2 linked regions of the Cricetulus griseus genome follow. The protein of the gene in region 1 purifies or fractionates together with the protein of each later gene. This does not show direct contact. Links are inferred from orthologs where the notes say so. Each region holds a gene or a part of one and is shown on either strand. Other genes may lie near its edges.

Evidence for each region. Proteins that work in one complex are often made in the same cells at the same time.
Region 2: the proteins of Ddx17 (region 1) and Drosha purify together in Homo sapiens (co-immunoprecipitation; 3 studies listed by IntAct, with this or other methods). This does not show direct contact. The link is inferred for Cricetulus griseus from reciprocal best matches to the Homo sapiens genes DDX17 and DROSHA.

What each region holds. Positions count from the first base shown.
Region 1 is NC_048595.1:376,715,299-376,719,425, reverse strand, and holds the start of Ddx17 (probable ATP-dependent RNA helicase DDX17), read left to right. Parts: upstream 1-1,283; 5' UTR 1,284-1,493; coding exon 1,494-1,543; intron 1,544-4,127. UniProt on the Homo sapiens protein: As an RNA helicase, unwinds RNA and alters RNA structures through ATP binding and hydrolysis.
Region 2 is NC_048595.1:345,840,794-345,844,924, reverse strand, and holds the start of Drosha (ribonuclease 3), read right to left. Parts: upstream 2,817-4,131; 5' UTR 2,661-2,816; exon of another isoform or gene 2,657-2,660; intron 1,749-2,656; exon of another isoform or gene 1,639-1,748; 5' UTR 1,527-1,638; intron 1-1,526. Other genes in the region: C2H5orf22 (UPF0489 protein C5orf22 homolog), read left to right, coding at 2,995-3,132, 3,867-4,012. UniProt on the Homo sapiens protein: Ribonuclease III double-stranded (ds) RNA-specific endoribonuclease that is involved in the initial step of microRNA (miRNA) biogenesis.

The DNA.
Region 1 (4,127 bases):
CCCTCCATTTTCTTTTTCCAAGTTAGCAACTGTCTAACAAACATTGGTCATCTGACTCCCTCTCTACAAATTCTGAGCCAAGGAATATGTTGGTTCCCCAAGCATTCAGGCAACTAGCACAAAGCCTGGCTCTCCACGACTTTCTCAATCTATGGCTGAAGTGACAAATGAGGCTCCTTTACTTTCCTGGCTTTCCAATAATCTGGGCAACACTCAGAACAGGAGACGACAACACAGCCTCCAAGCTGACAGACTCCCTTCTCCGCATCTGTAGAAATAAGACCAGAGGTATCAAGGACGCAGCAGATTCACAATTCTGTAAATCAAATATGGCCAAGCTTGTGTGGCTTGGCAGTGCGCAGGGATGGCAAGCAAAAGAAAGTAATCTGGGAGTTGGGAGGCGCCCGCAGCCTAGCCTGGCCTGCCTTCCCCCGACTGGGTTTCTGCAGTCGCGGAACCGAGCGAGGCCATCGGCGCCCACCTCAGGAAGGGTGGCCTCTGTGTGAGCGCGCCAACTGCGCCCAGCAGGAACGGTGACAAAAGTCTGTTCGGGAAACGCACGTTACTGAGGGAAACACAGGGCGTCTTTTAACCCTGTTGAGCTGTGGCCGGGTAAAGAGAGCGGCGCGACGCATCCAACATGGCTGCGGCGCCAGCTAGGCGAAAAGCAACGGAAGAAAATGGCGCTGGCATGCGCTCCTAGCTTGGCGAACCCGGGGCGGCGAGGCGAGGGGCCAAGGCCACTCAGATTCTATACCACAGACCCCCGAAACCTGACCAGACAACATGGAGGGCAGCTATTGTGTCTGCACAAGGCCAGCCTCAAGTGCCGTTTGAGCTCGGAATGCTGGGAAAAGTCTATTCTCTAAACAGAATGCGCTACGAAGACTGCGCATCATCGTAATAGTGGGCCGGCCAACCACGCAAACAATGTTACGTTGCGCCGGAGGCGCGCCCCACCCCCAGCCCACGTTCTAGAGTTGGCGGCGCGAGAACGGTACGCCAGTTACGTACACTGCCTTATTTAGGTGGACCGCCAAGGGCACCCATCTCCGTCACGGACGTAAAACGCTTCCTAGAATGTCTATAGCACCGAGCCGAGCCCTCGGGCTCCTCCAGACGCTGTTTACGTAGCGTCTCGGCCGTGCGTAGCGTTAAGTTGGAGCAGTCTCAGCGCCGCCGCCATTTTGTGCAGTCGCTGGGAAGGAAAGGAGACGCCTAAACCGTGGCACCGCCCGGTTTGAGCGTGACCAAATCTCCCCACTGCACTAACAACCCCGATTCTCTGTGTTTTGCTACCGTCTCCGACGAGAGAGGCGGCGACGGTGGCGTCTGCGACGGGAGACAGCGCGTCGGAGCGAGAGAGCGCCGCGCCTGCCGCCGCCCCAACAGCGGAGGCGCCGCCACCATCGGTCGTCACTAGACCGGAGCCGCAGGCCCTCCCCAGCTCGGCCATCCGTGCCCCGCTCCCAGATCTTTACCCGTTTGGGACCATGCGCGGAGGCGGCTTTGGGGACCGGGACCGGGACCGAGACCGTGGAGGGTAAGGGGGAGGTGCAGGCGGGGGGCGGGGTAGCCCGCGGCTCGCGACGTACAATGGCGGCGGTGCGCGGGCCTCGGGCCCGGGCGGGCCCCTCTGCGCACTGCCGTCGTGGCTCGGAGGTGGCAGGCCAGTCGTGTCGCCTCGCTTGGCCTTGCAGCTCATCTGGTCCCTGCACGCCGCAGTGTCTGTCCGGAAAGAACCCGGATGGTTTCCTTTCCGTTATGTCTCCAGGCATCCCCTTTAGCGGGACTGCAGTCGAAAAGGCCTTTTCTGATTGTAAATGAGGTCTTAACTCCTCTTCGGTCATATTTTGGTTCATTGGAAACACATTGGAGTTGAGAGATCCAGAAGTGCAGGCGACATTTTTATTTATTGCCTCTTAAGGATCCAATTCTACTGCAGAATTAACCTTAAGGCCTAAGCTAGGGGATGAAAAAATATATATACATATATATGTATGTATGTATATACACACACATACACAATCAGGAAGCTTAGTGTTTTGTTGCTAGAAAAATTCTTGAATTTTGCCCAGGAATCAGTACGCCTAAAAGCTGTATGCCAACATTGTTCCTGACTCCTAGATAAAAGAAACAATTCACATCTAGATAAACTTCGGGTGCTTTATATTTGGATGCAATAAAGTCTTGGCTGTTTGAGGTTGTGCTCACCTCTAATCCCAGCACTGAGGAGGTAGAGATGGGTAGATCTCTTGTGAGTTCTACATTATGAGTTCCAGGACAGCCACAGCTACATAGTGAGACCCTGCCTCAAAGGGAGAAAGAAAAAGTCTTAAGTAACAAAGCTATTGAAACCAAGAGAACCTCTTGAGGTGGTCCAGGCCAGTGGTCCCATCACTAGAGATCAAAGCAGGAGCTTGGTTACCCAGGCCTGCCTGGGCTACGGTGGGTTTTGTGTCAAAGTAAGGGAATGGTTTCCAAAGTACTAGGTGTGGGGTTGCTTGTAGAAGGAAAGAAAATTTAGTTAGGTTTGTAAAGGTATCTTAATTTTAGAAGCTTAATCTTTTTCTTGATCAAGATTCAAGCAGCGTTAGCCAGCCTGAGATGCCGTGTACCTTTGATTACCACCAGTTGGGAGGCAGAGGCAGGCAGATCTCTGTGAGTTTGAGGCCAGCGTGGTCTACAGAGTGAGTTCCAGGACAGCCAGGGCTACACAGAGAAACCCTGTCTAGAAAAAAAAGAAAGAAAGAAAGATTGAAGCAGTACTAGATTACAGCAAGAATAGGTGCCACATTAAACTCAATTGAGTTAGGCTAAAAAAAAAAAAAACTCTTAAAATTGGGTTTGGGCCATTTTTGCAAGACTGAAAAAACCTGGCTTTCTATTTCTTGGGTGTTTGAAAATTGTGCTGAGAATTTTGCAAGTGGAGTGGAATGGCCAACTCAGAAGCTCTTTCACTGATTGAACTGAAAGTCAGGGCCTTTGGAAAGGGGGCTGATGGGGGTACTTGGCTCTATATGTTTTTCTGTTGTGTTGGTTCAGCAGTGATATGAATAAGTTACTTCAGTTCTGCCTACTGAATGAAATATCCAATGTGTGTCTTAATCTGCCCCATTTGGCCTAGAATGTGCCTCGTTTCAGTGTCCAAGTTGTAGGATCACAAGTGTAGACCTACTACTACACCAGACAGTGACAGAAGAGGGTTTTAGATTGTAGATTTTGCCCCACCTCTCCCCAAACTGGCTGGTCTCGAAATTGAAATTCTTCAAAGTAGCTATCACTGAATTTTCTGAGTCTGTAGTGTTTGACAGGGAATAAGGAAATGAGATTTTAAAATGTCCTATTTGAATATCATCAAAATAAAGCCCTCTACTTTTACATAGTAAGGCAGATAAGGGTGATATTTGGATTATTCTAGGAACAATTAGTTTCTATTTTCATGCAAGTGGCTGTATCTGTATTCTTGTTTGACTTACCTGTTTATTGTAAAGGGTATTAAAAAAAAAAAAAAGACATAAGGCCAGGCAGTGGTGGCGCACGCCTTTGATCCCAGCACTCGGGAGGCAGAGACAGGTTGATCTCTTGAGTTCGAGGCCAGCCTCTTCTACAAAGCTACACAGGAAAACCCTATCTCAAAAAAGAAAAGAAAGATGAAGGCTAGAGAGGAAAGGATTACAACTCTTTGTTCTGGTTCTTTTGAATACACTAAAGGTGAACGCTAGTTCCTTATGTCCTGGTAGTTTGCAGATCATTGAGAAGTGCTTGCCACAGCAAGTGGGGGAAGTTGGCTAAGTCCACAAACTTGGTTTTATTCTATTGCAGAATCTCTAGTACCACTTAAAAAACTACACTGGGGTTGGTAGCCAGTGATTTTGCTAAATGGATAAGTCAGTGGCAGTGCTGTCCTCTGCATAGAAAACTAAGGTTCAAAGAAGTAAAGTTTGTTCCCAGAGTACATATACATAGTAAGTTTCAGACTTAGAATTCAAGCCTTGTCAGGTCCAGAATCTATGCTGGACATTGAGATTATAGTAAGATGAATGGTCTTTCAAAAGGGCTTTCCAGAAACCATCACTTCACATGCCTTTTCTCTGTCACATGAGATATGGGTACTAATGAATCAG
Region 2 (4,131 bases), about 31 Mb from region 1:
AATCACAGTGAAACCTGCATTCAAATTCAAATAGACCCACAATCTTGCTAACACAAGTTACAATTCTTTACCTTCATTCTCAGCTCGTCCCACAGAAGAACAATGCCAACATAAATTGAACTTTGGCAAAATGCTTTAAAAAGTACACAAATACTAAACACAAAAGGCCTTAATGTGGAAACATCTTTCTAGGGGCTGAGACTAGCTCAGCAGTTAAGAGCACTTGCTGCTCTTGCAGAGTTCAGTTCCCAGCACCCAAGTTGGGTGGCTCACAATTGCCAAGAGATACATACAATACCCTTTTCTGGCCTTTGGAGGCACCTGCACACATGCATACATTCAAATACATTCATATACCTTCATAATGCAGTAAGTAACCCTTTCATATAGTTCCTCACATTGCAGTGACCCCAACCATGAAATCACTTTGTTGACCCAAGGGGTCGAAACCCATGGTTGACAACCACTAATGTAGGCATACTGTAATGGCTATTTCTTGGTTGTCATCTTAACTATACAGGGTGCACACCTGTGAGAGATTTTCTTAATTTGAAGGGGGTAGATCTACTTTGAAAGAACATCTTTGAGGTAGAAAGACACACCTTTAATTCAGATCTGTAATTTAGATCGATTATGGGCCACACCTTCTGCTAGAAGCCTATATAAGGACACTGAAGAAGGAAACTTTTGTTCTCTGCCTGTTTGCCCTCGCCTTGTTGGCAAGCCCATTCCTTCACTGGCATTAGAGCCCACTTATTCAGGATTCCAGAATATAATGAAGACTGGCTGAGACAGCCAGCCTCAAGGACTGAGCGACTCCTGACTTTCCATTCATAGCCAGCCATTATTGGGTTAGCTGAGCCACAGTCTGTAAGACATTCTCATAAATCCCTTTTCTGTACATACAGAAGTTCTTTAACTCTACAGAACCCTGACTAATGCACATATATACGAACATACAGATACACATACATAAAAATAAATAAACTTTTTAAAAATGCCTGCCTTTCTTCTCGAACTGACAAGGTAAAAAAAAAAATGACAAATAACTGAGTTCTACCAATTACTATCTAATAAACATAGTTACCAAATAATACTCCTCATTCTAATACTCTCATGATTCAACTTGGGAGCCAAAGAGCTACCATTGGCACCTCAGGCTCCTCACAGCCAAAAGAACGAACTCAGTACAAACTCCATGCTCTGCATCTGAACCTGAACCCAATCTCTCCCAGGTTCATCATCCTATTTCCATCTCCACCAAGCCCTGTGAGCCTCATGAGTTGACATACCCAGCACTATCATGAAACTTCCCTAACTTGTCCAGTGAATTCCTATCCATCCACCAACCTCTTATTGAACCTCATTTGTGAAGCATTCTTGATTTTCTTTGGGAACATAATCTCATCCCTTCTAGACTGCTACTGCTTAGTCTATACTTTCTTTTTGTTATTGTTATTATTATTATTATTTTGTTTTTTCCAGACAGGGTCTACAAAGCGACTCACTCCTTTTACAGAACTTACCAGAAACTGCCTCATGTAACAGTCATGGGTACCCATGCTGAACTCCTTCGTTATGTTACTAGATCCTTGAAATCATGGCTTCATTCAGTCACTTCTGCATCCTTCACAGCTTCTACACACAATAAATGGCAGGCAGGTTTTACTCTCGTTGTGTGCGTTTCTGTGTCACTAAGTTTGCATTTTCCTTCTGCTTCTCCCACAAATCTGCATTTGGGAAACCAACTGGGAAGCGGACATTTTTCACTGACTCCTGCATCATGTATTGACCCAATACACATGAGGCACTGTCCCGAGCTCTGTAGACAAATATGGCACACAAACCTGCAAGGCTCAAGGATCTCAAAACCCGTAAACAAATGCTTAAATAATAATAAAATATCTCCAACATTACAAAAAGAAAAATTCAATTTGATAAACACAAGAAAATAAGGGTGTAAAGTGTCCAAGATAACAAAAAGGAATATACTGAAGCTAGAGGTGGGCAACAGTCAGGGTAATTAACACCTCTGAACAAAGTAAAACTGGAATGGAACACTCACTACCAGACCACCCTGGGCGTTTCTACAGTCAGAAAAGCTAAAAAATACTGAACCATTGTATTATGGATGCAAAGTTCAATTCAAGTCAATGAATTCAATGTAAATGGAAAATGCCTATTCCTGGGCTGCCGTTTAAAAGCAGGGAAACCGAGGGAGCTATTCTGAACACTATACAGTCCGGAACGTCAATGGACACATGGAGTTTCAAGGTGTGACTACATACAAGTCAACTGAGACCCCGCACGTTGCCATGGCTGAGCCCTGAAGCCCGGCCTCCTCCTGGCGGATGCTCAATTGCCCGTTCGCTGGTTTGCATCTCCCGCCAGCCTGCGAGGTAAGCGCGGGACTCCGGGACTCGCCGCCCCTCCCGCCCCGGGTGGCCCCGGGCCTGGGCCGTAGCTTGAGCTCCACAAACAGACGAAAGGCGCCCACCCCATCCCTCTCCTGCGTTTCTGTGGGATCTGTAGCTAGGGTAGCTCTTTCTCCCTCGGCGGCAGATCTGTTCCGAGGCCGCCAGACCCAACTCCCGGGATCACTTCGCCCAGCCCTGGATGCTCTCTCTCCAAACACCCACCAAGCGCCCCCGTTTACCTACAGAGAGTCCCCGGGTCGCCGCCAGAGCCAAGCCTGGTTACTACAACAGCCTCCACGGCACAGGCGCCGCCCGCGCCTCCGGAACAGGAAACACCGGGAATTAAAAAGCAAACCTGAAAAAGAGGAGCCTAGGGAGGGAAAACTCTGCGGTGCACAGCGCAGCACCTTTGGCGCCGTGATTGGCGGGTCAGCTAGAGTGACGGACACCTAGACCAATCGACACTGCCTATCGTTCTCACACCCGCCCCCCCACATTGACGTCCTCCAATCCGGAAGCGCAACCGGGTGAGCGCGCGTTTCCGCCGCGAAAGGGCAGTGGGGCGCGCGGTTTGGAGATGCCGGGTGCTTCTCCGGGTTTCTCTGGGTCACCGCGGCCTGAGTCGCGTGAAGACATGAGTGACCCCGGAGGCGACCACACGCGCCTCAGGCGCTACCCCAGGCTCCCGGTGTGGGTGGTGGAGGATCACCAGGAGGTGAGCCGGCAGCAGGCGCCCCCGAGCCATGACAGGAGGGATTCGAACCCTGGCGACCTGCAGAGCCTTGACCAGCATCTGACGCTGGCTGCCCGCCTGTCTCCTGCCAACGAATCATTCTGCTGTGTGATGAGAGGGTTGGCCAAGAACGTGCACCTTCGGCTGTGAAATGGGGACCATAGTTGTAGATCCTGTTATAGAGCTGTAACTGGGGTCTAAATCTTCAGGCTTTGTTAACGTTTGGCAGTGCTGTGGTAACGTGGGTACCTTACGTAGACTTCTGGTTGACGGCCAGTGAGGTCCATGGGTGTAGGAGACTTGGTCTAGATGAAGCTCAGTGGTACAGTGTTTGCCACAGACCTTGGGTTCAACCCCTCCTCCCAGGCAAAAGTGGGGCAAGGGGACTTACTGATGGAACAAGAGGAAAAGAAAGTCAACAAATTTGAAAGTCTGTGCTTTCAAATTTAGCAGTAAACCTGGACAGATAGGGTGAAGGAGTCATCCAGCCTAGCTTCACCATCCTAAAGGGACACAAAATGTCCTAAAGCTCATTTAGTGCTGGAGTGAGTGGTTCTGGGTGATAAAGACGGAGATATTCATCAGAGCCATCTACAGTAAAGAAATTTTATATAACAACATGGTTCTTCAAGTTTGTGCAGTTATTTATTTATTTATTTATTTGAGTCTGCACTTGACAATGTGAATTTCTCAGTGTGTCCGCGTCTCTGTTACAGGTTCTGCCTTTCATATACCGGGCCATTGGTTCGAAGCATCTTCCTGCCAGTAATATACGCTTTTTACATTTTGACTCACATCCAGACCTCCTCATCCCTGTGAATATGCCAGCAGACACTGTGTTTGATAAGGAAGCACTCTTTGGGTAACGCGATATTTTTTCATCATATTTTATGTATTTGAAATATAAGATGTAGCAGATAATAAAGCAATAGACTTTGCCACACTCATGTTTGGGTTTTTTTTTTTATTTGTTTGTTTGCC